Linked DNA regions of Pelodiscus sinensis. Each later gene encodes a partner of the first gene's protein in a complex. Links are inferred from orthologs where the notes say so. Each region holds a gene or a part of one and is shown in the gene's direction. Other genes may lie near its edges.

Region 1 (7,246 bases):
GGGTCCCGGTGCCGGGGGGGAGCAATGCTGGAGGGGTTCCGGGGGGGCAGGGCTGGGCGGTCCCGGTGCCGGGGGGGCAATGCTGGGGGGGTTCCGGGGGGGCAGGGCTGGGCGGTCCCGGTGCCGGGGGGGAGCAATGCTGGGGAGGTTCCGGGAGGGCAGGGCTGGGCGGTCCCGGTGCCGGGGGGAGCAATGCTGGGGGGGTTCCGGGGGGGCAGGGCTGGGGGGTCCCGGTGCCGGGGGGAGCAATGCTGGGGGGGTTCCGGGGGGGCAGGGCTGGGGGGTCCCGGTGCCGGGGGGGCAATGCTGGGGGGGTTCCGGGGGGGCAGGGCTGGGGGGTCCCGGTGCCGGGGGGAGCAATGCTGGGGGGGTTCTGGGGGAGCAATGCTGGGGGGGTTCCGGGGGGGCAGGGCTGGGGGGTCCCGGTGCCGGGGGGGAGCAATGCTGGGGGGGTTCCGGGGGGGCAGGGCTGGGCAGTCCCGGTGCCGGGGGGGCAATGCTGGGGGGGTTCCGGGGGGGCAGGGCTGGGGGGTCCCGGTGCCGGGGGGAGCAATGCTGGGGGGGTTCCGGGGGGGCAGGGCTGGGGGGTCCCGGTGCCGGGGGGCAATGCTGGGGGGGTTCCGGGGGGCAGGGCTGGGGGGTCCCGGTGCCGGGGGGAGCAATGCTGGGGGGGTTCTGGGGAGCAATGCTGGGGGGGTTCCGGGGGGGCAGGGCTGGGGGGTCCCGGTGCCGGGGGGGAGCAATGCTGGGGGGGTTCGGGGGGGCAGGGCTGGGCAGTCCCGGTGCCGGGGGGGGCAATGCTGGGGGGGTTCCGGGGGGGGCAGGGCTGGGCGGTCCCGGTGCCGGGGGGGAGCAATGCTGGGGAGGTTCCGGGGGGGCAGGGCTGGGCGGTCCCGGTGCCGGGGGGAGCAATGCTGGGGGGGTTCCGGGGGGGCAGGGCTGGGGGGTCCCGGTGCCGGGGGAGCAATGCTGGGGGGGTTCCGGGGGGCAGGGCTGGGGGGTCCCGGTGCCGGGGGGGCAATGCTGGGGGGGTTCCGGGGGGGCAGGGCTGGGGGGTCCCGGTGCGGGGGGAGCAATGCTGAGGGGGTTCCGGGGGGGCAGGGCTGGGGGGTCCCGGTGCCGGGGGAGCAATGCTGGGGGGGTTCCGGGGGAGCAATGCTGGGGGGGTTCCGGGGGGGCAGGGCTGGGCGGTCCCGGTGCCGGGGGGAGCAATGCTGGGGGGGTGCCGGGGGGGCAGGGCTGGGCGGGTCCCGGTGCCGGGGGGGAGCAATGCTGGGGGGGCTCCGGGGGGGCAGGGCTGGGTGGTCCCGGTGCCGGGGGGGCAGGGCTGGGGGGTCCCGGTGCCGGGGGGAGCAATGCTGGGGGGGTTCCGGGGGGCAGGGCTGGGGGGTCCCGGTGCCGGGGGGAGCAATGCTGGGGGGGTTCCGGGGGAGCAATGCTGGGGGGGTTCCGGGGGGGCAGGGCTGGGCGGTCCCGGTGCCGGGGGGAGCAATGCTGGGGGGGTGCCGGGGGGGCAGGGCTGGGCGGTCCCGGTGCCGGGGGGGAGCAATGCTGGGGGGGGTGCGGGGGGGCAGGGCTGGGCGGTCCCGGGGGGGCAGGGCTGGGGGGTCCCGGTGCCGGGGGGAGCAATGCTGGGGGGGTTCCGGGGGGGCAGGGCTGGGCGGTCCCGGTGCCGGGGGGGCAGGGCTGGGGGGTCCCGGTGCCGGGGGGAGCAATGCTGGGGGGGTTCCGGGGGGGCAGGGCTGGGGGGTCCCGGTGCCGGGGGGAGCAATGCTGGGGGGGTTCCGGGGGGGGCAGGGCTGGGCGGTCCCGGGGGGAGCAATGCTGGGGGGGTGCCGGGGGGGCAGGGCTGGGCGGTCCCGGTGCCGGGGGGAGCAATGCTGGGGGGTTCCGGGGGAGCAATGCTGGGGGGGTTCCGGGGGGGGGTCCCGGTGCCGGGGGGAGCAATGCTGGGGGGGTTCCGGGGGAGCAATGCTGGGGGGGTTCCGGGGGGGCAGGGCTGGGGGGTCCCGGTGCCGGGGGGAGCAATGCTGGGGGGGTGCCGGGGGGGCAGGGCTGGGGGGTCCCGGTGCCGGGGGGAGCAATGCTGGGGGGTTCCGGGGGGGCAGGGCTGGGCGGTCCCGGTGCCGGGGGGGCAGGGCTGGGGGGTCCCGGTGCCGGGGGGAGCAATGCTGGGGGGGTTCCGGGGGGGCAGGGCTGGGGGGTCCCGGTGCCGGGGGGAGCAATGCTGGGGGGGTTCCGGGGGAGCAATGCTGGGGGGGTCCCGGTGCCGGGGGGGAGCAATGCTGGGGGGGTCCCGGTGCCGGGGGGGCAGGGCTGGGGGGTCCCGGTGCCGGGGGGAGCAATGCTGGGGGGTTCCGGGGGAGCAATGCTGGGGGGTTCCGGGGGGGCAGGGCTGGGCGGTCCCGGTGCCGGGGGGAGCAATGCTGGGGGGGTTCCGGGGGGGCAGGGCTGGGGGGGTCCCGGTGCCGGGGGGAGCAATGCTGGGGGGTTCCGGGGGAGCAATGCTGGGGGGGTGCCGGGGGGGCAGGGCTGGGGGGTCCCGGTGCCGGGGGGAGCAATGCTGGGGGGGGTCCCGGTGCCGGGGGAGCAATGCTGGGGGGTTCCGGGGGGGCAGGGCTGGGCGGTCCCGGTACCTGGCGATCTGGTTGCGCCGGATGTGCCGCACGAAGCCGTGGCTCAAGTCGAGCCGCCCCCCCGGCCGGCAGCCGCCCCAGGCCGGGCCCCGCTCCGCCTCCGGCCCCGCGTCCATCGGCCCCCGCCTCGCCCCGCGCCGAGAGCGGCCGCGCCGGCCCCGAGACCCGCCCCCGGCCCCGCCCGGCCGAGCCGCGAGAGCCGCCCCGGGGCTCCCCGAGTCTGCAGCCCCCGCCCCCCCGACCAGCCCCCCCCCCGCACAGACCATTCGGCGCACCCCGTGGCCCCCCGCCCCCTCATGCGCCCCCCCCGCATGGGGACCCCCCGCCCTGAGTCCCGTGTGCACCGCCCCCGTGGCTGTCCCAGCAGCACCAAAGGAGTGTGGGGGGGACCCCTGGAGCTCCTGCAGCGCCCGGCGCCATGCCCGTGGGGTGTGCTGGGCGCTGTATCTGCCCCCCAAAACCGAGCCCCCAGCCTGGGCGCAGGGCGACCCTGCCCGCTCGGGTCTGGCCTGGCTGCCCCGCTGCTGGAGCCACTGGGCCAGGCCCTGCAGGGCAGCAGCTGGTGCACCCGCTGCATCGGGAGCAGATGTCCCTCCGCCCCAGAGCCCGTCTACACTCAGCGCTGTGCTCCGGCAGGCACTGCCCGGAGGGGTTCTCTGGGGGGCACCTCCCCAAGAGGCAGCAGCTGGGTCCCCAGGATCCCTCCGGCCACATGCTCTCTGTGCCGGCGAGGGTGGCTTGAGCAGGCCGCTGGGTGGAGGAACATGGGGGCTGTGTCTAGACTGGCCACTTTTTCCGCAAAAGCAGCTGCTTTTCTGGAAAAACTTGCCAGCTGTTTACACTGGCCGCTTGAATTTCCGCAAAAGCACTGACGATCTCGTGTAAGATCTCGTGTCAGTGCTTTTGCGGAAATACTATGCTGCTCCCGTTCGGGCAAAAGTCTTGTTCCGAAAAGCTTTTGCGCAAAAGGGCCAGTGTAGACAGCTCAGATTTATTTTCCGCAAAAAAAGCCCCGATTGCGAAAATGGCGCGTCTAGATTGGCCACAGACTCTTTTCCGCAAAAGCATTCTGCCAATCTAGACGTGCTTTTCCGAAAATGCTTTTAACGGAAAACTTTTCCGTTAAAAGCATTTCCGGAAAATCATACCAGTGTAGACGTAGCCGGGGAGTTTTTTACGCCCCTGCTGGAAGCAGTTAAACCGGTTTAGTTCTCTGGTGTAGACAAGGCCTGGGTCAGAGGCTCTGGGTATTGGGAAAGTCGCAGGGTCCCCGAAGCCGATTTGAGGGACCAGGCAGGGGAGGCGCAGACACGTGTCCGGGTGGCCCAGCTGCTGCTGGTGGGAGCCCCCCAGGGCCGGGAACCCAGCTCGCAGCAACTGCTCCATCACGGGACTCCGGGAGCTGGGGCTTGCGGGGCCGGGCGGGCTGCAGGGATCGGACCCAGGGCAGGGCGAGGCGCAGCACCGCAGACCGCAGCCCCCCCCCCCCCCGGAGCAGAGCCAGGCCGCACAGCTCCCAGCGCCAATGAGCGCGCTATCAAGGGGGACTGTCTCTTTAAATGCTAACTCCGGGAATGGCGGCGGTCGGCCCATCTCGCAAACGCTGGTCGGAGAGCAACCAACGCGCATGCGGAAAGGGGCGGGTAGCGTCTGACGATAGGACTGCGCAGGCGCCAAATTGATCCTCGCGCCTTCCTCTGGTCGTCTGTGCGCACGCGCCTCTCAATGCACATGCGCCACTGGGCGGTGCGCGCGCATGCGTGTGCGGCCGCGCGTGCGCAGTGCCGGTTGGGTCGCGGCCCGGGATGTCCAGCCGGGCGAAGCGGGAGCGGGAGCGGGAGGCCCGCGCGTCCACGCGGAGCTCGGCCTCGGGCCGCAGCAAGCGGGAGTCCGCGGGGTCGCGCAGCTCGTCCCGAGCGAAGCGCGAGGCGGAGCCCGAGCGGGTCCGGGTCAAGCGCGAGCCCGAGGACGGGCCGCCCCGGGTCAAGCGGGAGCGCGAGGCCGAGGAGGAGCCGGAGCCGGAACCGCCAGGTGGGGGCGGGGCGGGGCGGGGGGGCTCCTGGTCTGTAGTTGGGGGGGGCTGGGGGCGGGGCGGGGGGGGCCCTGGTCTGTAGTTGGGGGGGCGGGGCGGGGCGGGGGGGGCCCTGGTCTGTAGTTGGGGAGGAGGCTGGGGGCGGGGCGGGGGGGTCCTGGTCTGTAGTTGGGGAGGAGGCTGGGGGCGGGGCGGGGGGGTCCTGGTCTGTAGTTGGGGAGGAGGCTGGGGGCGGGGCGGGGGGGTCCTGGTCTGTAGTTGGGGGGAGGCTGGGGGCGGGGCGGGGGGGTCCTGGTCTGTAGTTGGGGGGGGGCTGGAGCTGGGCCAGGTGAGCCAGGGACTGCATTGCTTTCACGCAGGCACAACTTCAGGCAAACGGCTAATTCCTCGGCCGGGCAGTTGATGCTTATCCATGTGGTGTGTGTGTGTTTGTTCCAGTGAGGTACGGCCGATTCGACCCCGAGGACCGGCGCAGCAGACACTGCCCGTACCTGGACACTATTAACAGGTCAGCAGAGACAAAGCACAGGGTCCTAATACGTCCGTGTCTGTGAGAGTGGCTGGTACCCACGAAGAACCCCAAGCGTTCTCTGGATTAGCAGTCTCAGCTGGTGCTACAGGGCTGGAGGGAGCTGCAGCTGCAAAGGTCGAGCAATGCCAGCCGGAGGGGCAGGACTGGAATAGCAAGGGATGCTGGATGGGTTGAGCTGCAGTTCTGATTTTTAAATTGATGTGGGATCTTAGTTCCTGTGAGAGCCCAGAAATGGGGAAAGGGGATCCCTCATATTTGAGGTATAGCCTGCCAGCACTGTGGCATGGATCAGCCCTGATCAGTTTTCTGTTGACCTTGGTTCTCATGGACTCTGTCAGGTTTATGAGAAGGTAGGACTGGCGGGGACCTTCTAGGTCAGGGGTTGGCAACCTACTGCACTTATGGCATGCAGCGGAAGCTCCGCTCCCTCCACCCTACATGTATGGCGGTCACATGTTGGGCGGCAGCTGCTCTGGTGGCCTGGCCGGGGCCAGAGCCAGAGGGCACGTGTCAGACAGTGACAGCCCCTTTGGCCACTGCCAGGGTGGGGGTTGATCCTGCCAGGGTGGAGCCTTCCTTCCTGTGGCATGCCAGAGCCCCCCAGAGAGCTGGAACAGCCCATTGACCGTAAGTAGCAAGCATCACCCATTAAGGGTGATGTTAACCATTCACATCCCTGTTTTGAATAGGAGTTTAATAGTTGGGCTTTATTGGTTTATGTTGATGTGCATGTGCACGTGCTAGGTTGGCTTTTGTTTTTAAACTGCCCAGCTGGTGGCCTTTTCTAAGCTTTTAAAAGATTTTAAGTAAGAAGTATTATTTTTTGCATTTCATAGGAATACTTATAATTATTTTAAAATTTTTATTTTAATGATAATTTTATTGTTTTAGTTGCTTTATAAGTGACAAACGGATGTAGGGTGTATATTTTGGGTTTCTCTTTTTATGTTTACCTTTTTTATGTTTAATATTAAACGTTGTGGAAAAAAAAAATGAAACCATGAAAGCATCACAAGAAAAGCTGGAGCGGAGCCCTGGGCAGGAGACCAAGCAGGGTGCATGGTGGAGAGAGCCCCTCCTCCCCTCCCAGGAGAGTGGCGTGGCCCAGGGCAAGAGGGTTAAATCTTGGCACGCTGCTTCAGAAGGGTTGCTGCCCCTGTTCCAGGTCATAGAGTCTAGACCCTACTTCCGTAGGCAATATTAGCTTGTCTGTTTCATGGTCGTTCTGCTAACTCGCTATTAACCTGCCATTTCAGGAGCGTTCTGGACTTTGACTTTGAGAAGCTGTGCTCCATCTCGCTCTCGCATATAAATGTCTATGCTTGTCTGGTGTGTGGGAAGTACTTCCAGGGTGAGTGCATTCCCGTAGACCTGCCTCTGCAGCAGCAGAAGCACTGAACTGGGCTCTGAACACTTGGGGGGCACTTAGAAGGACATTCAATTTATCTTAAGTGAGAATTTGCCTTTTCCTGTGGGCCCTGAATTTCTAAAGCTATTTTCCATTCAAATTATTGTCAGAATATCAAAGAACCTTTTCTTAGCCATTACTGTGGCTTGTGCAAGGGTTATAGCAAATGTGCGTGACTGGCGTGGATGTATTGCTCATCTGAACGTGTGCTTAGCTCATGCCCCTGCTGTTCTGTGGTTCCTTCTTTGCAAAGTCCCCTTGCAATCAACAGGGCCTGTGTCTTATTTCGTTTTAGTGACACCATGTGGGGTTCAAAAGAAAGTAGCATGGTAAATAACTGAATGTTAGAAACTAATGATCAGTGGGAAGTGACAGGTCTCCCATTTTAATAGTAGTAGAAATCCTGCGACTGGATCCCGGGGTTCTTGTAGCTAAATCCCAGCCTGGATTGTGGAAAGCTACCTCTGAGATGTTTGAAGATTCATCTTCCATCAATGTACCAACCCCTCCCCCAAAAATAATTCCATTTCCCCCTCAAGGACTGTTCTCTGCTGTGTTAGATGCTCAGAGAATTCTAGCTTATTCCTTCTGAATAGCAATGCAAGTGGGGCATGGAAGTAGCTGAGATTCTCCCTTGG
Region 2 (7,174 bases), on another chromosome or scaffold:
TGTGCTTACCACTCTGCCCAGTATCACCCAGCCCTTTACCCCCAGCAACCCCCATGCCCAATGGCCCCTCTCCCAGAGATCTCCATCACAGATCCCTGTGCCCAGCCCTCCTCTCATAGCTCCCCACAGTCCTGTGAGCGCTCGGCACCAACAGGGACAAACTCTCTGTGCAACATTCTGCACGTTTGATGGTCAAGAAGTCAGTGTGGAGACGCCAGCCTGGCAGTGGCAAGCACAGGCTGTATGAAGGTGAGAAATCGCCCTGCCCCCTCCCTGCCTTGACTCCCAGCCTAGCCCTGAGACTCCCTCCCTTTAGTGTGAAGGGGCAGAGCCTGGCAGCTGCAGGAACAGGGACCACACGAGGGCATCAGGTCAAGCAGTGAGAAACTCAACCTCAGCCCTCCCAGATCTCTAGCCGGACTGAAATTCCCACCCTGCTTTCCCCTGGCTCCCGTGGTGCGTGGAGGGAGGCCCAGGGCCAGGCTCACAAGGCAGGGGAAAGCAGGAGGCAGGAGGAGCCCCAGGGTGGAGCCCAGCTCCCGTTTCCTCTGGGCACCGTAAGCAGGAGGAGGCTGGTGCTGACAGCACCAAGGGAAGGCTTAAAAGCCACAAAGCAACCGAGGGCCGGGCAGGGCAAGAGGGAAGGACCAGGCAGACACGTGACCTGCAGACAGCCACCGAGACCACCCTCTGGCACAGCAAACGCAGAGCGAAGGCCACCCAGCGACCAGCATGCGGACGGCTGCTGACGCTCTGCGTCAGACGATGGTAGGAAGGCACCGGCTGGTGTCCTGTTGGATGCTGGTGGCTTGGACTCCCCTGCCCTCAGAGGCTGGCATATGGGGCCAGCTCTTTCTGCTGCCTCCTTTGTGTGACTTGCCCAGAGGCAGGAATGGGGCAAAGATGGAAACTCGAGCTGAGGGAGGCAGGGCAGAAGCTCAGAGCCACAGTGGGGCGAGCAGGCCCCCCCCTTTGTTCTGCCAGAGCCTGTGGGGGCAGTGGGCTGCAGGGAGACAGAGTCCCGCGCCTGTCTCAGGGCATCCCAAGGGTGGTTCTGGGCAGCCCAGGAGAAGAGGGGGGTTCTGGGTGGAAGGAAAACAAGCAAAGCTCTTTGGGCATGATCCAGTGCTCCGTTCTGGCCTAGATGGATGGGGGACGGTGGGCTTGGCAGGCTCCCTTTGTGGCTGACCCAGGGTGTGATTCATGGCTTTGGACGTGTTATTAGCTGCCCCATATTGTTATCAGACTCTCGGGTGTGTTTGTACAGCTCTTGCTTTCAGGGTCTGGCTGTGTCTGTCCGGCTGTCTGGTACAAAACCTGTGCTGTGTTTCTGGGTCACACTCGTAGACAGTTTGACAAGGCTCTGCCTCGCCTGCTTGATGGCCCATCCTGGCCCAACAGCTATTCAGTTGGCCCATGGAGAAAGCAGGGGATACAGCTTGAGGCTCAGCAGCATATGCAGGGCCAGGCCTAAGCACATGGAACTGATTGAACTTCAAAACATGGCGACTACATATTGTCCATGACTCTGAGCCTTAGTTATGTGCTAAGAAAGGCAGTACAAGCCACATGGCAAAGGAATATAAGAGGAGGCTGCAACTTAGAATCATAGAGTCCTGGACTGGAAGGGACCTCGAGAGGCCATGCAGATTGAGGTTGCTCTAAAAGATTCTTGAATGTGGTCAGTAGTTGATCCGTATGGCGTTTAGTGCACCAAATCAGTTCTAGTTCCTCCTGTTCCTGTTGTAAGTGCCATGGGTTTGATGGAGATTCAGGAGGATGCTAATCGAACTGTGTTAATCCACCCACAGTATTCAATCAAACACATAAGGTTGTGGCACACCCCTCCGTTAGGGAGCTGTGTCCTCCCTGTGCTGCCTCCCTGTACCTCTACTCCAATGAGGATGGGAGTCGTGGCTGAACGCTGCTAGCAAGAAACATAGAAGGGTCCACCATGACACAGCCACTGTCTTAGAGGGAATTGGCTCCAGATTACGAATTGCAAGTGGCCAGGAAATTTAACAGTTTAGGGCATGAATTATCAAACTTTAAGGTGCCCCTTATTTTGGCTTTATCATCTATTACAAAGGTCAGTCTAGACATTATAATTATGGTATCTTAATGACCAATGATTTGGTCCGGTTAATTCAGGCAATGGGGAAGCTTCAGAGGGTTAGTTCCAAAGCTATTTCCTGCACACAAATCTAATCATGGATGTGTAATGTTTGTTCATAAGCATTGCCTCCATGCCTGTGACACCACACAGCTTAAGAGCCTCCGTATTAGGAATTTTGTCCCACCAGTGCACGTGGGCAATTTTCCTCAGACAATGCACATGGAACTGATTGAACTTCAAAACATGGGGACGATATATTGTCCATGACTCTGAGCCTTACAGCAGGACATTCAGGACAACTTCCTGATAAACCACTATCTTGGTATGGAGTTTAATACCACTGTCATTCCATAGGCGTTTGATTAGTTTTCCAAAGGCAGCGCTGGCTTTGGCTAATTGAGCAGATACATTATGATCCACATTTCTGCCAGAGGACAGTACACTTCCCAGGTAGCAGAACTTGTCAACACCCTTAAGGACGGTACCAGCAGCAGCAATCACTGGAGTGCTGGGCTTTTTCCAGACCAGCTGAGGCAAAACTTCTGTTCTCTTGAGGCTCACTGTGAGTCCAAAATGGTGAGCAAAAGTAAAAAGCTCCTGTGCATCCTTCACTAAGTGCATCAGTGCACTTACTATTGACAAAATGGTGAACCAACTAATAAATTATATGGTATATTCCTGAGATACAGTGCTAGGAGCTGAGGCCTTGGTGTACTTGGTGCCTCTGTGTGTGATCCATGAGTAGCTCAAGGAACATGAATGGAATCTACCTAGCTGTGGGGCTCCACGTGCTGTTTTCCTGAGTGAGAGCAATACTTAGAGGGGTCACTAGCAAGGCTTGTGAGAGACAGCCCAGGCTGGAGAGTTAGTAGTACCCCTGTCCCAGGCTGCACCCTGGGATCCCCAAAGAGTTCCATGGATTGACTGTGAAAAAATAATTTATTTTGTCTGTTTTAAATCTGCTGTCTATCAATGTTTTAATTGGGTCAGCTTCTTGTGTTGTTAGCAAAAGAATAAATAACGTTTTCTTATTCTTTTTCCATGCCATTCATGATTTTCTAACATATCCTCCTCCCATCCTTTAGTCATTTCTTTTCCAAGCAGAAAAGTCCCAGTCTTGTTTCTCTCTCCTCATATGGAAGATGTTCCTTATCCCTAATCATTTCAGTTGCCTCTACTGTACCTTTTCCAAACCCAATTACACACAATTAAAAAAAGTGAACACATATGAAAAGGACAAATCACGTGTTCACTTTTTTTTTTAATTGTATCCTTTGGTATAGATGGTTGTGACAATTTTCTTCCACTATCTGATCTGAGGAAGTGGGTCTGGCCCACGAAAGCTCATCATCTAATAAACCATCTTGTTAGTCTTTAAAGTGCTACATAGTCCTGTATTTTGTTTATGCAGATCTGGTCACCCCATCTAAAAAAAAAAAGATATATTGGGTTGGAAAAGGTACAGTAGAGGCAACTGAAATGATTAGGGATAAGGAACATCTTCCATATGAGGAGAGAGAAACAAGACTGGGACTTTTCTGCTTGGAAAAGAAACCCCTTGTGCAACGCCGCTACGCCGATTATTTTCAGGACTAGCGGCGTTGGCAAGAGGGGCAGTGCAGACAATGGCGGCTCGTTGGGTATGCAAACGAGGCTCGGCGATATTCCACGCTTAGCCTCATTTGCATATCTCTGGTGCAAGATGGCGCCAGTGTGGGCATAACCTCAGGGGGACACTTCCCCCGGCGTCCCCCCTCCCCCCCAATTAATGAGACACAAATCGGGTCAATGCAATTGCAGGCTCAGGGGCGTGGCTAGTGGGGCTCAGGGGCGTGGCTAGTAGGGCTCAGGGGCGTGGCTAATATGTCCCTAACTTTGGTTCAGAGAATAGGGTCACCATAGTTACGCCCCCCCCCCCCCACGCTGTAGCACCGTGTCCAATAGGAGCGCTCCCTGAGCTACGGGCTCGCGTGAGACGGTCTTTTGGCGGGAAGAGGAGTGGCGCGGGGCATGCTGGGACTAGAAGCAGCACAGAACGCAGCCGCGGACTACAACTCCCAGCACACTTTGCCACGCCCAGCCCCTGCTGCGCCTGCGCACTGCATCTCCCGGGCGGCCGGTCTTTTAGCCAGCGCTGGGCTCTAGTCCCGCGGCCGGGCTGTGGCCGGGGCTGGACGAACCCTTGGCGGGTCCCCCGGAGCCATGTAACTTCCCTCCGAGTGCGGGTCCGGAACCGGAACCCGGGCAGGCCATGTTGCCGGAAGGAGGCCGGTGTCCGGGTTCCGGTTCCGGTGGGTCGCCATGTCGGTGCTGGCCTCCAACCCCAACAACCCCGTGGTCTTCTTCGATGTCAGCATCGGCGGCCAGGTGGGGGCGGGGCCGCGGGGAGGGCCGGGCGGGCAAGGGGCCGCGGGGGGCAGAGGGGGCTCTGGCGGCAGGGTGGGGGGCAGAGTGAGCTCGGGGAGGGGCCCCTGGCCCCGGGGGGCAAGGTGGGGGGGGGCAGAGGGGCCCTGGCCCCGGGGGGGCAGAGGGGCCCTGGCCCCGGGGGGCAGGGTGGGGGGGGCAGAGGGGCCCTGGTCCCTGGGGGCAGGGTGGGGGGGGCAGAGGGGCCCTGGCCCGGGGGGGGCAGGGTGGGGGGGGCAGAGGGGCCCTGGCCCCGGGGGGGCAGGGTGGGGGGGCAGAGGGGCCCTGGCCCTAGACATGGGCCTGGCGCTGACACTCTTTTCCCCCCTAGGAAGTTGGCCGCATGAAGGTGGAGCTGTTCGCAGATGTTGTGCCCAAAACAGCGGAGAATTTCAGGTAGCCTGTGGCACTTTGCTCCCAGTGAGGCAGCCCAATGCCTGGGGATCGGTCATGCAGCAACTGGCTGGAGGAGGCCCCGGCTCTCTGGCCCAGCAGTGGGGCAGTCCTGCCTGGCACAGTGCCCAGGGGGTCTGAGAAGCAATTTTAATGGAGGTTGTGTCCCTTTGAGACAGCCTTATGAGCTGCAGCCTGCAGTAGATTGTGCACTGTAGGGTATCAGCCCTCCTCTTTAACATGTGCTTTGATCATCAAGGAAATTAACTGCCTTGATAATTAACTTTTACTTTTAGATCCCTTAAAGGGAAGGGACAGGGTTAAGACTCTAAAAGCCAGGTCCACACTACTGGAGGTCAGCTTAAGGTACGCAATTTTAAGTTAAGTTTTTGTTTTTTTACATAGCTGGAGTTGACGTATCTTATGCCATACTTTGGCACTGTCTTCTCAGCAGAAGGTCAACAGGAGGAATGCTCCTGTCAACTTCCCTTACTCTTCACAAGAAATAGGAGTACTGCTGCCAATGGTGGCACCCTCATTGGGGTCTTTATTAGGGATGTAATAGTATAGTCGATTAACTGATAAATAAAAGCTTATAGGTTAATGCATTCCTCCCCAGCCCCCCACCAGTAAATTTTTTAGTAGGCTGGCCAGCAGCCCGGCTCAGTCCTGGCTTGCGACGGGTCTGGGATCTACCCCTGCTGTGGCTCTGCATTTAAAGTGTATTAGGAGCTGGGTGGGCAGGCATCCTGGCTCAGTTCCGGCTCACGTTGGGTCCAGGAGCTCAGACTCCACCCTCACACAGGGGCTGCTGCTACCCTGCACTGGTGCTGAGGCAGGAGTGCGCAGTGGTAGAGCGCTCCCCAGGAGTGGCGCTGGAGTGCACTGGCTGCTGACCCCACCCCTGGGGACTGTAGAATAGTAAAGTAACTGATAAGAATTCATGAGGTTAATCGACTGTTCAGTTATACTGTATTTACTAGGGATGTTAAAATACGTTTATTTATGTAAATGTATAACCGCTGAATTTTTCAGTGGTTACACATTTACATGCTAGCAGGCAGGTATCTCTGCAGGGATGGATGTAACCATGAACAGATTTACAGAATATGGGTACACATTCACATCTTTAGTTTTTACTGAATTGAACGATGGAAGATCGACGGCTGTAGCATCTAACTGTCAGGGCGATTAAACACTGGAATAAATTGCCTAGGGAGGATTTGGAATCTCTGGAGATATTTAAGAGCAAGATGGATAGATATCTATCAGGGATGATCTAGATCAGGGCTATGTTTGTTTTCAGCCTATGATGCAGTTCGGGTTTACGTGGGGCTCAACACGTGGCTCACGGGTGGGATCCTTTGAACGTGGCCTCCACTGGGAACGTGCTTCACAATGGCGAGGCGTCTCCCAGCTGGGGTGAGCATTGAAAGATGCAAGCGGACAGTCTGGCTGGAACAGATGGGTGCAGGGTGTCAGCGTGTCTAGCCCCCAGGAAGGTGGTGCCAGGAGCACCGGGGCATTGTGTGAAAGAAGCTATTTCCATATATCAGAGGGGTAACCGTGTTAGTCTGAATCTGCAAAATCCGTTAGTCTATAAGGTGCCACAGGACTCCTCGCTGTATTTGCATATATATTTGCATATTTGTGCAACCACACTTATGTTGCGCCACTTGGCATGTGCTGTATCATTGTGGCCCTCGTGGCTTCCAAAGTTGAGTAGCCCTGATCTGGATGGTGCTTGGTCCTGCTGTGAGGGCAGATAACCTCTCAAAGTCCTTTCCAGTTCTAGTATTCTGTGATTTTTATCCCACATCAGGTCTCCTGTAATGGAAATTGCCTAGCAGATGTAGTGGCCTTACTGCCGTATCTTCCCATCACCTCCTAGGCACCAAATTCCATGCTGTCTCCTTGTGAGATTCAATCTGCAGATTGAGCAAAACTCAGCTGTACTTCAGACTGGCCAGACTTTTACTAGTTCCTAGGGAAAGAATGCCTGACCCAAGCAGTTATTCCCACATGCTCAAAAAAGAGGAGGGCTCAACCATTTGCTCCTGGGGATATATGTGCGATTCAGAAACCCTGCAGCCCACTGTGTTCATGTTTGCCCCTTCCTCCCAAAGCATCTTTGCACACAATGCACCCGAGAGATGGCAGATTACTGACTTGGCCCACTGTTGGCTGACTTCTTCATACTGGGCAGCCCAGTGCCTGAACAGGAACATGTGTAACTTCGTCCATCAGAGACCTCCACAAATT
Region 3 (7,202 bases), on another chromosome or scaffold:
AACCTATTGATCACAATTGACTGGTCGATCGCAAGGACTCGACCAGTCGATCGCGAGGTGTTTGGGGGACCCCCTCTGATTTTCCCCCACCCCCAAGAAGTCCCACTACCTACCTCCAGTGACAATGGAGGTAGTGGTGGCTTCCTGCGGGGTGGACAGAAGTCCGGCAGCTACGTGCCACTTCCGGGGGTTCTGGAAGTGCAGTGGCTGCTCCCCTCCCCCAGGTCTGTGGCATACCGGGAAGTGGTGTGGTGGTGGTGGGAGTCCCCAGAGGAGGTGCGCGCAGGGGCTTTCTCTCCTCTCTGGTGGGGGGGAGGGTGGAGTCGTCCGCGGAGGAGGCGTGCAGTGGGGCTTTCCCTCCTCTGCAGGGGGAGGGGGACGGGAGAGGAGTCCCGGGAGGAGACGGGTGTGGGGGAATCCCTGCCCCCACTGGCACCCTGTGCCCTGGTGCAAAACTCTGCCCTCATTCCCCGTTCCCTTCTGGTACCCTGTCCCCCACTGGCACCCTGTCCCCTGTCCCCCACTGGCACTCTGCCCCCACTGGCACCCTGCCCCCACCCCAGCACCTTGCTCCCGGTCCCCACTGGCACTCTGTCCCCTGCCCCAGTACCCACTAGCACCCTTCCCTAGTACCATGTCCCCTGCTCCCACCAGCACAGTTAGGGCCACATTAGTGAGGCTTGGGGGGTTTTTGGAGGAGATTTTTTTTTTTTTTTTTGCATCTCACTTGTGTGGCCCAATTGACTTTTCTGTGAGTCAGTGACCCCTGATTCAAAACAGGTTACTTGCCCTTCTCATCAATAAAGACAATGCAGAAACTTTTTGTGCTTGTCATAGTATTTTATTTAAAAATGAAGCCTGGCCAACAACCTCCAGCCCCGATCTGGCCACAGCATCATAACACTCCTGCACACACACCCCTCCCCCCCAGATCTTAGATCTGAGCCTATCATACACTGGAACCCCCTGCCCTGAGCCCCTGACATACTCCAACTCAAATTCCTGCACCCTCACATCCACAAGCCTGTGGCTTACTTAGTACCACACCCCTTCATCTGACCCCAACACTCCCCAGCCTGGAGCCCCCTCCCTGATCCAGCATCCCCTTCTCCACCTCCTCCTGCATCTAAATTTCCTCCCAGAGCTTGCACCCCTCACCCCTTCCCACACTCAAATCCCTCATGCTCACCCCAGAGCCCACATATCCTGTCTCAAGCCAGTGAGGGTACAGTTAGACTGCAGGGCTGTGTGTACACTGGGCCACTTATTCCGGAAAATCAGCCGCTTTTCCGGAATAAGCTGCGAGCTGTCTACACTGGCCCTTGAATTTCCGGAAAAGCAATGATGCTCTACTGTACAAAATCAGCTGCTATTCCGGAAAAACTATTCTGCTCCTGCTCGGGCATAAGTCCTTATTCCGGAACACTGTTCCGGAAAAGGGCCAGTGTAGACAGCCCAGTAGTCTTTTCCGGAAAAAAGCCCCGATCGCAGAAATGATGATCGGGGCTCTTTTCCGGAAAAGCACGTCTACATTGGCCACAGACGCTTTTCCGGAAAAAGGGCTTTTCCGGAAAAGCAGCCTGCCAATGTAGACGCTCCTTTTCCGGAAAAACTGAAAACGGAATAGTATTCCGTTTTAAGCATTTCCGGAAATTCATGCCAGTGTAGACACAGCCCAGGAGTTTTTTCAGGATTCCAGAGATATCCCGGAAAAACTCTTCCGCGTCCATGGATGCGTTTGTTCTTCCACTTTTTTTAGTGGAAGAGCAAACATGCTCTTTCGGCAAGCCCTGTATGCCTCATTCCATGAGGAATAAAGGGGCTTCCAAAAGAATGGGTTTTTCTGACATTTGGTCCCATCCAGACAGGCCAAATATTGGAAAAACCTCTTCCTACAGAAGAATCGGAAAAAAAACCCCCGGCAGTGTAGAGTGTACAGCCAGTCTCTGACTTACGAACGAGTTACGTATCAAACTCTAGGTTATAACTCAATCTGTTCGTAAGTCGGATTACATTCACTTACATATGGCTGCGCTGTTCATAAGTGCGGATTTCATTCGTAACTCGGGTTCCAGCTGTATAGGAGGTTGGTCGTAGATACGAACGGTTGTAAGTCGATGAGTTTGTAACTTAGGGACTAGCTGTATAAGGGCTGGGGATAGCAGGTAATGGAGAGGAGGAGAATAGAGAGGGCTGGGCTTCAAGGAAGGGGTTGAGTTTTGGGGGAAGGATGGAGTGGTAGATCCTGGCTTGTTTTGACATTTAAAAAGTGGTCTTGGGTGTAAAAAGGTTGGAGGCCACTGTTCTAAGACCAAAAAATCTATAATACCAAAATTCAAAATGTTTCTGAATAAATCTGAGGCGGCTGAGGCTGTGTGTGTATGCGGGTATGGTCGGGCTGCTACACTGGCTCGGCCTTTGTTTCTTTGAGCCAAAGTGAATGACGTCACATTACAGTTGAAATCAACAGAACGGACGTGCAATGTGCAATGTACGATGGTGCATGACAGCAATGCGTAGGCCTGCTTTGTGCAATGGTGGAATCAGAGATGGAGTCGCTTGAGTCTTGACCGGTGAGTAGAGAGTACGCAGTGGTTGGATGAGTTCTGTTATCATCTGTCATTGTGGGTTTGTGGTTTTCCGTAACTGACAATAAATAACAGTGCGAGTATGGTGTAAACGAACAAAGATAGTGTGCGTGGAAAAAGTAAAAAAGTCGGCTGTTCTCAACCCATTTCCTTGGCCTATTTTGATTGCCAGTCCGCCCCTGAATACAGAGTTTGAATTCCGTGATTCATTCTTTTGAAATAACGAGCTTGGTAGTGTGGACACACAGCTTATAAATTTGACCAGGGATGGGAAGTGGGGGGTGGGGATATTTGGGAATAAGGTCCTAGAGTAGACCAGGGCTAAGAAGTGTGCAGGTATCCCACAATACATTCTGATTTCCAGTGGGAAGATGGCATGGAAGACTCTAGGATGGCTTTCTAAAGTGCAGTTTGTCTTCCGTAATGTAAGTTGATACTATCTGGACAGAACGCACTGGTACCAACAGACAAGCGTGAACACACTCTGTTGAAATAGTTTTTTTGATGGCACCATGTTGACCAAACTTTTCTCATAAACTTTCCAGTGTGGAAAAGGCAAAGTTTAAAAATATTTGTGAATCGCAAAAAGAGAAGGACTAAAACAAAAATAACAAAATAAAAAGGAATTAAAAATTAAGTTTCAAACATACAAGAACATAAAAAAGGATTTAAAAGCTCCTTCCACTGCGCTCTTTCTCTGAAACTTTTGTTGTCTTTTTGGTTCTGCTATTGTAAGTGGCCGAGCATCAACAATTCCTGAAAGGTGTGCAGCACCTCACAGTCAATAGGGCTAGTCACGGAATTTAGGACCATCATCACTCTTCAAGTATTGGCACTTTGGATGCCGATGCACAATGGAGTATCTGTCCCATCTTTAGTTCATGAATTCTTTTAAGTTGGGATTGTGTGTATATGCATATTGTTAGTGCTAACCAAATTAAATACCCAATGCTAATGCAGACTTAAGGTTGCCCAGTGGCATCTTATGCCGTAGGAGAATGTGAAGAGCACCTAACTTAAGTTTTGGGAAACCAAGAAATGAAAACCTAAGGTGACACATATGTAAAAACTTTGAAAACTAGGGAAGACAAAGTCACGCTTCCCTATAAAATATGGTCTTCATTACCCTCCCTGAAGTTTACAGTAGCCACTGGAATTGATTAAATAAGATTTGCTTTGAGCCCTTCATTATCCTGCTGGTGCTACCAGATGCAAAAGTAAGGCCACAATGCTTAGGCTTTGCCTATACTACTTCCCTGAGAGGCGGTGGTTAGAATTTTCCCATCAGCCTAGTGAATTGAGAGATGTCGTATACCAATTGACATTCTGAGTGTAGGCCGGCCTACATATTGGAGGTGGTATTGCCACCTGTGAGGGATAAAAACCTGGGATGTCCAGTATCACCCTGAGCCCATCCAACCATACATCAGGTGGCAGGATGTGTGGTGCACCTGTGCAGATTTCCGGAGGCAGCTACCACAAAAAAGGAACTGTCCTGGACAGGGAGTCTCATTGCCAAAAGCCCATTTTCCATTGAATTTGCGTGGAGGCAGTGGGAGGGTAGGATGCTGCCCAACATCTCTGAAAAGCAGGCTCTGGCATCTGCCTTCTACAGCCAGAGCCTAGGAGCTCCAGCTGTGCGCGCGCGCCCGGAGACTGCAGCTACGTCCAAGCGGGCGCACGATTGCTCTGACATCCATTGGTTAGGGCTGCGGGGGGAGGCTCCCAGAGTTATTCAATCCATCAGGCCGAGGCCCCTCTCTCTTCCACCCGCCGATAGCGGCGATTGGTCAGGTCTGGTTTCAATATGGCGGCTAACGCCACGACCAACCCGTCTCAGCTCCTGCCGCTCGGTAACTAGCTTCCCCCCTCCTCGGCCCGCAGCGGCGCGGGGTGCCCTGATATTCCCCGATCGGGGGCGGAGGGAAGGCTGATCTGTTTGTAGGCGGCTTTCGGTGGCGCTGTGGGGGAGGGGCAGTCCGAGGCTCCTCTCCGGATGGGGTGGGGGGAGGAAGGCAGGTCGCGCGGGCCGTTACCGCCGTTGGAAAGCCGAGGGAACGTGGAGGGCGGTGACGTCTGTGCCCAGGGGCGGAAGGGGCCGCGCGCGCGCCAGGGCCAGGTTGTGCCGCAGCCCGCCCCGAGCGATGGAACGTCGGTGCAGAGCGGCGGCGCCGCGGGGATCTGATGGGGCCGGGCCGCGGCGGCTCCGGCGTGTGGGTTTTGCTGCCCCCTCGGCCCCTCCCCGGCGGAAGTAGTGGAAGTGGCCTCACCTTGCGGTGTCGCGCGGGCTCCTTTGGGTCGCTCCGGCGGCGAGCCCGCGCTACACAGCCGTGGCCAGCTCTGCCCTGCGCCTGTGGCGGGGGGTGCCGGGCATCACAGTCTTGTTTTGTGCGGGGCACGCCCCGTGATGTGAGTAGGGTCCTGCCTGGGACTCTGATTGCAGGGTTCCGTTAATGGACAAGTAACAGGCATCTCTTGTCTCACTTTTTTTTTTAGGTGGCTTGGGCCTGGCCTGCCCCTGAAACGAGAGGGGGGAGGGACTCTTAGAAAAATCGGTTGGGGGGGCCACACAAGTGAGAAACTAAATAAATGAAACTCTCATTGACCTGGCCCCGAACTGAGAAGGAGGAGAAAGACACTAGCTTCACTCCCCTCGAGCTCTAGTCCCATGGGGCCGGGAAAGGAGAGAAGAGGGGGTGCTGAGGTTCAGGGCTCATCCCAAGGCTGGCTTAACTCTTCTATGGGTATGGGACTAGAAGATTTTTGTAAGTGTTCTGAGCAGTCGTTTTGAAAGTGTACAGGTTTACCATGTTCTTTAAAGGGAATGTGTTAAAAAGATGATCACTTAATATATGTTTTAAGTTGTATGTAATCTTACATAAAATATTTTCTTATTTGCAGAGCTTGTGGACAAATGTATAGGTTCACGTATTCATATTGTGATGAAGAGTGATAAAGAAATAGTTGGCACACTCCTAGGATTTGATGACTTTGTCAGTATCTTTTTAAAATGTAAATGGCAAATATTCCCACTTTTCTTTTTAAAGTAAGCTTAATTATTTAGCTGTTTGGATATCCGGTAGCTAGAATTAGGGATGTAAGGGAGTAGTCAACTACTTTATAAGCCTTTTCTTGTCTTCCTTCCCCCTCCCATTTTTTCCTTTCTTCCACACCCCACCCCCCTGGTCTCCCCTATTTATTTTGGTCCTAGACATCCAACACTCCGGTCATCTGAAGAAGTGGGCTGTGCCCACGAAAGCTCATGATACCATCTACATGTTTTATTAGTCTATAAAGTGCTACCAGACTATCTGTTGTTTTTTCAGTTTACCTGTACAGACTCTTGGCTACCCCCTGAAGCTTCTATGTTTATTAGAACATAGGTAGCAAGATGGGGAAGGGAGGAGCAGGAGCCGGTGCTGTCTCTATCAGGGGTAGGGGGGGTTACCTGGCCACAGACATGCTGCTTTGCATTAGCGGCCCCTGTGCGTAGAAGGTCCTGACTCGCTGCGGGGACCCTGGTGCACAGGGTTGGGCTGAGTCCCAGCTTGCGCTAGGTGCAGGACCAAACCCTGCTATGGCTTCAATTTAAAGTGCAGTAGAAACCAGGGGGCAGACTGCCCAGCTCCTACTACCTTTTAAATTGAAGAGCTGCAGTGGGGCTTGGTGTCTCACTTGGTGCGAGCCGGGCTGCCTATCAACAAATCGAGTAATCAATAAAAATTCTATTGGCTACTGGATTAATTAAATATTTGCCTCTTAACATCCCTAGCTAGAACAGATGCTTCTACTTTTTGCATGGATAAATATTACACACTAGCTGAAGTTATTTTAAAAATTAAGTTACATTGTTTTTATAAAATGGAAATATAAAATTATTAAATCAAGGATGTTTTAGTTTTTTGTTTTCCTTGACAGTAGACCTCAGACATGGTATTAGAGGATGTTACAGAGTTGTAAGTATTGTTTCTGTTTTTTGTGTGTGTGTGGCTATTTGTGTGCTTTTCTCTTTTTCTTTCCCATTTATAGCAAAAGTAAAGTAGAAAGAAAAGCTGTGGGGGCTTGCTTGTGGCTGATTGGAATGGCTCCTCTCTAGCTGGCTCTGTTGCATTGCGGATGGGGGATTGCTCCAATCAGCTCCGCTTCAGGAGGGCTGCTCGCACTGGCCCTACCTTCCAGTTAACCAATTACCAGGTAAGCATGCTGCTAAGGCCAATGCTTGCTGAGTAACTGGTTAACTCTTTACATCCCTACTTTAAATTTGACCTGCTAAGTCGCGTGAAAGCTATACATTGCCTTTCCTTCATTAGCATTTTACATTTAACTAGTTGACGTAAGTTTTCTTGGGGGCAGGGATTGGCTACTGAGGTCATTTTCACAGACTGACTGTCACATTTTCTTTGTTTTTTAAAATGTTTCCAGTTTGACACCCTTGACTTTTTTTTTTAAAATCTGAAATCCATGTTGAATTTCCCACTAGTTTTAATGTTTGCTTCTTTGCTTTGACCACAGATAAAGAGTTAAAAAGTAGGTATAATCCAGGATAGGAAGGCATTTATCTTACCTTGCAACATTACTCATATTGTCAGTTTTTCATGTTTTGAGTGATGTGGA
Region 4 (7,390 bases), on another chromosome or scaffold:
GATGACTAAATGTTATCTGGATCTTTTTGGGTCATATCAACAGATTGTTTTGGGCTTAATCCTAGATTAAAATTTAAATTGTATTAGGCCCTTTGTAAACAGGTTGGGAAGTGGTCTCATTTGGCAATTATTATTCGGTATTATTTACATAATATACACATTGCCATCTTGGTATTTATGTATACATTTCTCAGTACCTTTACATATAAAATAGCCCAGCCCCATTGACCTCCATGGGCAGTGTACCTTGTAAGGAGTGATGGGGATATGATGAAGTTGTTAAAACAAATATGTTGCAATTGTAGAAAAAAAATTGTGTGTCTGAAAACTGTAGGTACTGGGGGTATTTATAAATTTTTTAAAAGGGATACTTCATATAACAAAAAGGTTTAGAAACACAGCTCTAAACCATTCCTTTTGGCTCCCCCCTCCCGTTTCCTTTCTCCTTTGACAAGTTGGGCAGGTAGCAGTTTTGCTAAAAATGTATCTGACATGTGCATGTAGTGCACGCTCTACCTCAGCTGATGCTGGATGATCAGAGCCTCAATTGTAAAGGAATTGGCATTATCAAGATGATCAATCCTCCCACGTTTTGTTGTGGATTTTCCAAAGAAAATTCTGGTGTTTTCTATAGGTCACCCACATCTCCCAGTCATAGCAGAGACTTGGGATTAAATATGACTTTCTCAACTAAAAGTCTTATACATGTTCGGATGCTGTGATTGTAAACACCTGGCGAGGCAATCTGCCAAAGGCAAAGCTGGCTTTGACTCTTGATATTTATGGCTTCAGCTGAATGGCTTGTGTGAAATTTGGAAGAGCAGCTCAGAGAGACCTCTCTCCTTTACTTAAAGATAGAATCTCACAGAAGCCTGAAGGAAAAAGTCCTCGTGGCAGACAGAAAGCCTCGCTTGCAGTGTATCCTCAGCCTTAGGCTACTTATTGCTTCAAGAAAGCGAGAGCAATTCTCGTGTTGTGTGTTAGTTTTATTTAAAAGATTTTTTCTGAGTGTTATTTTAACAGGTAAATTAATCTCTTACGTTCACTGACTTAGCAAAGGAGGTGTGGGAGGGTAATTGCCATTCTGCTCCCCCTATCATACCTCTGTTCACCTGCTCCTCCTCTATCTACCACTGCCTGCTGAAGCCTCCTTCCTGCCTCTGCACCCACAGCCCGACCTTCCTTCTTCTTCAACGGGGGGATAGTGCCCGCCCCAAACTGGAGGGGGTAGGGAAAGATGTGGTACGAGCTCCCCCGCCCCCGTCGGGCTGAGCTGTGCACCAGGTTCGGGCCCCTGTCATGTGGTGGTGGAAGGGTGGCGGGTGGCATGCAAATTTTGCTTTTGCCCCATGGCGCATAACACCCTCGCTATGCCTCTGCCCCGATAACAACAGTGCACACCTGGTTACAGAGCTCTGCAACTTTGTTCTCACCCACAACTACTTCCAGTTCAGAAACAATTTCTATCTCCAAATTAGCGGCACAGCCACAGGCACTCGCATGGCACCACAATATGCCAACATCTTTATGGCTGACCTTGAACGTTTCCTCAGCTCTCGCCCCCTAATATCCCTACTTTACGTACACTACATCGATGACATCTTCATCATATGGACCCACAGAAAAGACATTCTTAAATAATTCCACAAGGATTTCAACAACTTCCACCCTACTATCAACCTCAGCCTGGGCCAGTCCACAAGGGAAATCCACTTCCTGGACACTACAGTACAATTAAATAATGGACAAATTTCCACCACCCTATATCATAAATCCACCGAATGCTACACTTACCTTCATGCTTCCAGCTTCCATCCCAGACACATTTTTCAGTCGATTGTATACAGCCAAGCCCTACGATACAACTGGATTTTCTCCGACCCCACCGACAGAGACAATCACCTACAGGATCTTTACAGAGCATTCCTAAAACTGAAATACTGGGGAAGTGAAAAAACAAATTGACAGAGACAAAAAAAATACCCAGACATGAACTACTTCAAGACAGGCCCAAAAGAGAAAATAACAGAATTCTTCTTGTTACCTACAGTTCACAACTCAGACCCCTCCAACACATTACACACAATTTACAACCCATCTTGGAAAATGATCCCTCACTCTCAGAGGCCTTAGGAGAAAAACCTATTCTTGCTTACAGACAAACCCCTAACCTGAAACGTATTCTTTCTGATAACTATGCCACACAACCACATCATAAGCCTTTAGGAACCCAGCCCTGCGACCAAAAAAGATGCCAACTCTGCCCACATATCTACACTGACGAATTCATAACTGGAGCAAACAACATAAGCCACAAAATCAAAGGGTCATTTGACTGCACATCTAGTAATTTAATCTATGCCATCAAATGCCAGCAGTGCCCCACTGCAATATATATTGGACAAACAGGACGGTCTCTGCAGGAAAGAATCAATGGACACATATCAGATATACGTAAAGGGAACATAGAGAAGCCTGTTAGTGAATATTTCTGTTTGCCTAACCACAGTTTTACAGACCTGCAAGCGGCTGTCTTGTCACAGGCCAGCTCCACAAGCCAGATACATAGGGAAGAACTGGAATCACAGTTCATCCACAAATTCAGTTCACATGCTAATGGACCCAATAGTGATATGGGCTGGCTAGGACACTACCTACTTAGTATCCATTGAAGGTGCTAACAGCTCTCTGAGTGGTATCCTTCCTGTCTTAGCAATCTTATCTATTGACTTTGATTTTTTATCTGCTTAGGTTTAAGTACCCATTCTCCAGATACTTAATGATGCTCTGTCTCACATCCCCCCTTCCTTTTTTCTTTTTCTCCCCCTCCCCTCTCCTATTTATTTCGATTTTTCATATCCCCAACTCATAACTCCCATCATCAGAAGAAGTAGGATGTCCCCACAAAAACTCATGATACCATCTACATGTTTTGTTGGTCTATAAAGTGCTACCAGACCATTTGTTGTTTTTTCCCCCTCCGAATGTGCCACAATTAGGTCACTGAGATCAAGTTAGCATGTAGCCTGACAGGAGGCTGCTACCTGCCTGAGATACACAGATAAGAAAATGAGTAAGGCTACAACACAGAGCTCCCAAGGCCTGCATTTAGTGTCCATACTGAGGCCACCTGATACTGAAGAGGAGAGTTTTATTCTGCCTCCAATAACATTCAGGTACCTCTGTAACACTTCCATCATAGCAAGAATTCTTCCTAAAAGATAGTCAAGGCTAGTGATTCTCACAACAAGCATTTTGGTGGCCTCAGATTGTGGCCATCAACTCTTGCTGGTGGTCATGCTAACATCTTTCATAAAATAAGAAATTAATGTAAACAGGGATTTAAGTAATTTAAAATTTATTACAGGTACTGTCTATGGAAACCTGGGTCCCTGCCAGCTCTTTGAATAGCTCCTTGCTGGCTTTTGCTGCAGCTCAGCCAGCTGTTGCCAGAGCTTAAGCTTAAGTTCACTTCTGAATTTAAGAAAAAACAAATTAATATACACACGTTTGCACATCCAGATCATTGCAATGTATGTATGTAGGGTTATTTCGCAGACGTAATAATAAACAAGTACTGTGATCAGTGATATTTATATTTGTTTAATAATCACTTTTCGCCAGACACCTGATAGCCACCTGGGAGGCTGTGAAAAAGGATAAGGGATATTAACCTACATACAAGTGTCACTTTTCACAGCTTCCCAGCAAACTAGTGTGTCTGCTGAGAAAAGCGGTACTTGAATGTTTAACAACAGCACTTTCCTCAGGACTAATTAAACCCTGGACAGGGGCGAGGGCCTGAGGGGGGCGGTGGGGGCGGCAGTGGGGCCCATGGCGGAACAGATGCTGGGCTGAGGGCGCAGCGGGAGCCCGGGGCAATGGGGTGATGGATGCAGGTTGGGGGGCTGAGCCCCGCCGCCGTCTGGAGCCGGGGATTGGCGCCCGCTGCCATGAGATGGGGGGAGGGGTCAGTGCCCGCGGGCCGGGCCGGGGCCAGAAGCTGGAGTTGGAGGCTGGGTCAGAACTTGCTGCCGCCTGGCCAAGGCGGTGGGGCGGGGCCTGCCCAGCGAGCCCAGAGACAAGCCGGGCGCCGCGCGGCCCAGGAGCTGAACCCGGAGCCCGACGTGCCGGAGCCCAGAGTCGGCACCGGCAGCCAGGGCTGGAGCACACGGCTGGGGGGTGGCCAGGATCCCGCCGCCCAACTACCCGGAGCCTCCATCCCGCCCCCCAGCTCCTTCAGCCTTGCGTCTCGCCTGGCTTCGCGGGGGAGGGGCCAGCGCTTTGCCCAGAGACTGTAACGGCCGCAGGAAACGCCTGGCGGCCACCGCAAAAAACACAGCCCCCCCCCCCCCCAACTGGCGTCATGCGCGCGCGTGCGCAGCGAGGCGAGCCAGCGGCGTCTCTGAACGTTTGGCGCGGGAACCCGCGAAGTCTCGCGGGAAGCGGTTGAGGGCCCGGTGCTAGCGAGAGCGCGGGACGGATCCGTCGCTGCCATGACCTCGGCGCTGGAGAACTACATCAACCGTATCCTTCCGCCGGCGGGGGCGGCTGGGGGGGGATTACAGCGCCCTGCTCCCCCTTTCCCTGAGGGTCTCGGCGGCGACCTGTATGGGAGGCTCCCCGCCCCGTGCCGGCCGGCTCAGCTGGTCCGGGCTGTGCGGGGATGGGGCTGAGCCATTGCTGCTCACGGTGCCTTGAGAGACCTCCCGGGGACGCCTGGCGTGGGGGCAGCGCGGCCTAGTGGGCAGAGCACTGAGCTGGGACTTGGCTCTGCCCAGTTAGGTGCCATGGGGCAAGTCGCTGCCAGTGCCTCAGTTTACCCAGTTGGAAAACGGGGACAATGAGAGTGACCCCGGCGGGGCTCCGAGGCTGAACACGCAGCTTGAAACGAGGGCAGGAGCGTTTAGTTGTCAGGGTGATTGTCTCACAGACCAGCCAGGGATGCGCCCGAATCAGCATCTCGGGGTGTTTTGAAGGGAAGACTGTTCGTTACTTGGAGTAATGTGCCCAGCACAAATGATGGTCAGTACGGGGTGAGCTGGGACCTGCAGATCAGACTCGTTACTCTAATGATCCAATTCTGGTCTTACATCTAGTGAATCTGTAGTCCAGAGTCAGAAACAGAGATGGGGGGGCATAACCAAAACTCTTTAGGGAGTCAGCCTAGACAGGGTGGCTGACACTGGCCAGGTGACAAAGAAAAATGCTTTCCTCAATATTTGGGGGTCTGCTGCTTTCTGTGAGTACAATTAGTGGACATGGGACAGGAAAATATCATGAGGGCAATGTGGGATAAACCTTTAGTTCCTCCTCATCTGACTCCTTACATTTGAACAATCAGTGCCTTGAGTTAAAGGCCACTTTGCTATACAGGCAGTCCCCGGGTTACGTACAAGATAGGGACTGTAGGTTTGTTCTTAAGTTGAATCTGTATGTAAGTCGGAACTGGCGTCCAGATTCAGCCGCTGCTGAAACTGATCAATTTCAACAGCGGCTGAATCTGGACGCCAGTTCTGACTTACATACAGATTCAACTTAAGAACCCCAGGCATCCCCAAGTCACCTGCTGCTGAAACTGATCAGCGGCTGATTCCAGGAAGCCTGGGGCAGGGGCTTCCTGTAGTCAGCCACTGGTCAGTTTCAGCAGCGGCTGACTTGGGGACGCCTGGGGCAGAGCAGCTGGGGTGCTGCTGGGTTGGTCCAGTAGCGCCGCCGCTCCTCGGCGCTACTGGACCAACCCAGCAGCACCCAAGCTGCTCTGCCCCAGGCGTCCTGATTCAGACGCTGCTGAAACTGACCAGCAGTGGCTGAATCAGGACGCCTGGGGCAGAGCAGCTGGGGTGCTGCCGGGTTGGTCCAGTAGCGCCCAGAGCGGCGCTACGGGACCAACCGGCAGCGCCCCAGCTGCTGTACCACAGGCGTCCGGAGCAAAGCCGCGGAGCCCGGGGGCAGCGGGACAGCCCAGACACGCCGTGGCTGTCCTGCTGCCCTTGGGCTCCTTGGCTTTGCTCTGCTTTGCTCCCCGTCTCCCTGGTCTGCAGACCAGGGGGACGGGGAGCAAAGCGGCGGAACACGTGGGCAGCGGACAGCCTCCGCCGCTTTGCTTCCTCTTCCTGGTCTGCTGGAGACCAGGGAGACAGGCCCCGTTCGTAACTGCGGATCCGACATAAGTCGGATCCGCGTAACTAGGGGACTGCCTGTATAGTTCTCCAGCCTTTAGGGAAAAAGGAAAACAGTGTGATGCTGGTTTGACCAAACAAAAAAAATTACCTAGATGACTGCTAATTTCAGAGGTTGATTTCATCACTCAGTTAACAGATTTCTTTAACAATTTTTTGAGTAAGAAATTCTTAAGGAACAGAGTCTAATTTCTTGCCTCATAATTTATATTACAGATTTTGTTGAACTTAACATATTGTTTCAAGCTGTGAATATATATATTTTGAAAGATTTCCTTGACTATACTGTTAGGCACTGTAGCAGTTATTACTTCTGATGGAAGAATGATTGTGGTGAGTATAAATTAGTACTATGCAAATAGTGTTGCTTGGAGTATGTGAGTTTTTAGAAAACAGAACATTCAACTTCTAATGGCAGATGCTACAAACAAATAAAGCTTGGAAACAGCTCATCTTGAACATTTCTCATCTTTCATACAGAACCTAAGTAATTTTTTTTATAAAAAGAGACATCACTTTTAAAAGTCTGTCAGTTTAAAACAAACAAGGAAAACTACAGCAGAAATGGTGAAACTGGCTATTTGTAAGGGGCTCTCTACTGCACAAAGTATGCTTGAAAAAAGTGACTCATATTCAAGTTACACTAATCTTAACTCCTTGCTACTTGTAATACATGATAGTAAATAATTGTCTTAAACTGACTCTGTTTTCAAGTTCCAGTCTCTAACAGAGTATGTGTTTATTCAGCTTTAAAACTCAGAATAAAATCTGTTAACTCTTCTATAATATACTGCTACCTGGGATATGCTTGTGACCTAAAATGAGAAACTTAAAGATAATTGGAATTCAAAATTTTTGTGCACTTTTTAGGGAACCCTCAAAGGTTTTGATCAGACCATCAACTTGATTTTGGATGAAAGCCATGAACGGGTGTTCAGTTCTTCACAAGGAGTTGAACAAGTAGTATTGGGACTGTATATTGTTAGAGGAGATAATGTGTAAGTACAGCTGCTGCTTTTTTCTAAACCAGTCAAATCACAATTAGTTAATGTTATAAATTAAAGCTGTAGTGATGCAAGATGTCAGGTTGATAGCCCTAGAAACCCTAAATTATTTTTACTCACATGTTCAGAACATACGGTAACAGCAAACCTGCCTTGGCCTTTGATGTAGTAGGCAAACATCTCTAGAATGACTAAAATAGTTGT

What was found.
Region 2: USP39 (region 1) and PPIH share a complex: the UniProt entries of both Homo sapiens proteins name them as parts of the U4/U6-U5 tri-snRNP complex. The link is inferred for Pelodiscus sinensis from reciprocal best matches to the Homo sapiens genes USP39 and PPIH.
Region 3: USP39 (region 1) and LSM5 share a complex: the UniProt entries of both Homo sapiens proteins name them as parts of the U4/U6-U5 tri-snRNP complex. The link is inferred for Pelodiscus sinensis from reciprocal best matches to the Homo sapiens genes USP39 and LSM5.
Region 4: USP39 (region 1) and LSM8 share a complex: the UniProt entries of both Homo sapiens proteins name them as parts of the U4/U6-U5 tri-snRNP complex. The link is inferred for Pelodiscus sinensis from reciprocal best matches to the Homo sapiens genes USP39 and LSM8.

Annotation. Positions count from the first base shown.
Region 1 is NC_134738.1:5,400,032-5,407,277, reverse strand, and holds the start of USP39 (ubiquitin carboxyl-terminal hydrolase 39), read left to right. Parts: upstream 1-4,234; 5' UTR 4,235-4,441; coding exon 4,442-4,667; intron 4,668-5,106; coding exon 5,107-5,176; intron 5,177-6,456; coding exon 6,457-6,551; intron 6,552-7,246. Other genes in the region: C28H2orf68 (UPF0561 protein C2orf68 homolog), read right to left, coding at 2,637-2,752.
Region 2 is NC_134733.1:3,182,952-3,190,125, reverse strand, and holds the start of PPIH (peptidyl-prolyl cis-trans isomerase H), read left to right. Parts: upstream 1-4,166; 5' UTR 4,167-4,417; coding exon 4,418-4,483; intron 4,484-4,850; coding exon 4,851-4,915; intron 4,916-7,174. UniProt on the Homo sapiens protein: PPIase that catalyzes the cis-trans isomerization of proline imidic peptide bonds in oligopeptides and may therefore assist protein folding. Participates in pre-mRNA splicing.
Region 3 is NC_134712.1:171,654,166-171,661,367, forward strand, and holds the start of LSM5 (U6 snRNA-associated Sm-like protein LSm5), read left to right. Parts: upstream 1-4,184; 5' UTR 4,185-4,395; coding exon 4,396-4,441; intron 4,442-4,505; exon of another isoform or gene 4,506-4,529; intron 4,530-4,608; exon of another isoform or gene 4,609-4,801; intron 4,802-4,807; exon of another isoform or gene 4,808-4,997; intron 4,998-5,489; coding exon 5,490-5,585; intron 5,586-6,516; coding exon 6,517-6,544; intron 6,545-7,202. UniProt on the Homo sapiens protein: Plays a role in pre-mRNA splicing as component of the U4/U6-U5 tri-snRNP complex that is involved in spliceosome assembly, and as component of the precatalytic spliceosome (spliceosome B complex).
Region 4 is NC_134711.1:44,603,714-44,611,103, reverse strand, and holds the start of LSM8 (LSM8 homolog, U6 small nuclear RNA associated), read left to right. Parts: upstream 1-4,381; 5' UTR 4,382-4,496; coding exon 4,497-4,527; intron 4,528-6,474; coding exon 6,475-6,515; intron 6,516-7,052; coding exon 7,053-7,180; intron 7,181-7,390. UniProt on the Homo sapiens protein: Plays a role in pre-mRNA splicing as component of the U4/U6-U5 tri-snRNP complex that is involved in spliceosome assembly, and as component of the precatalytic spliceosome (spliceosome B complex).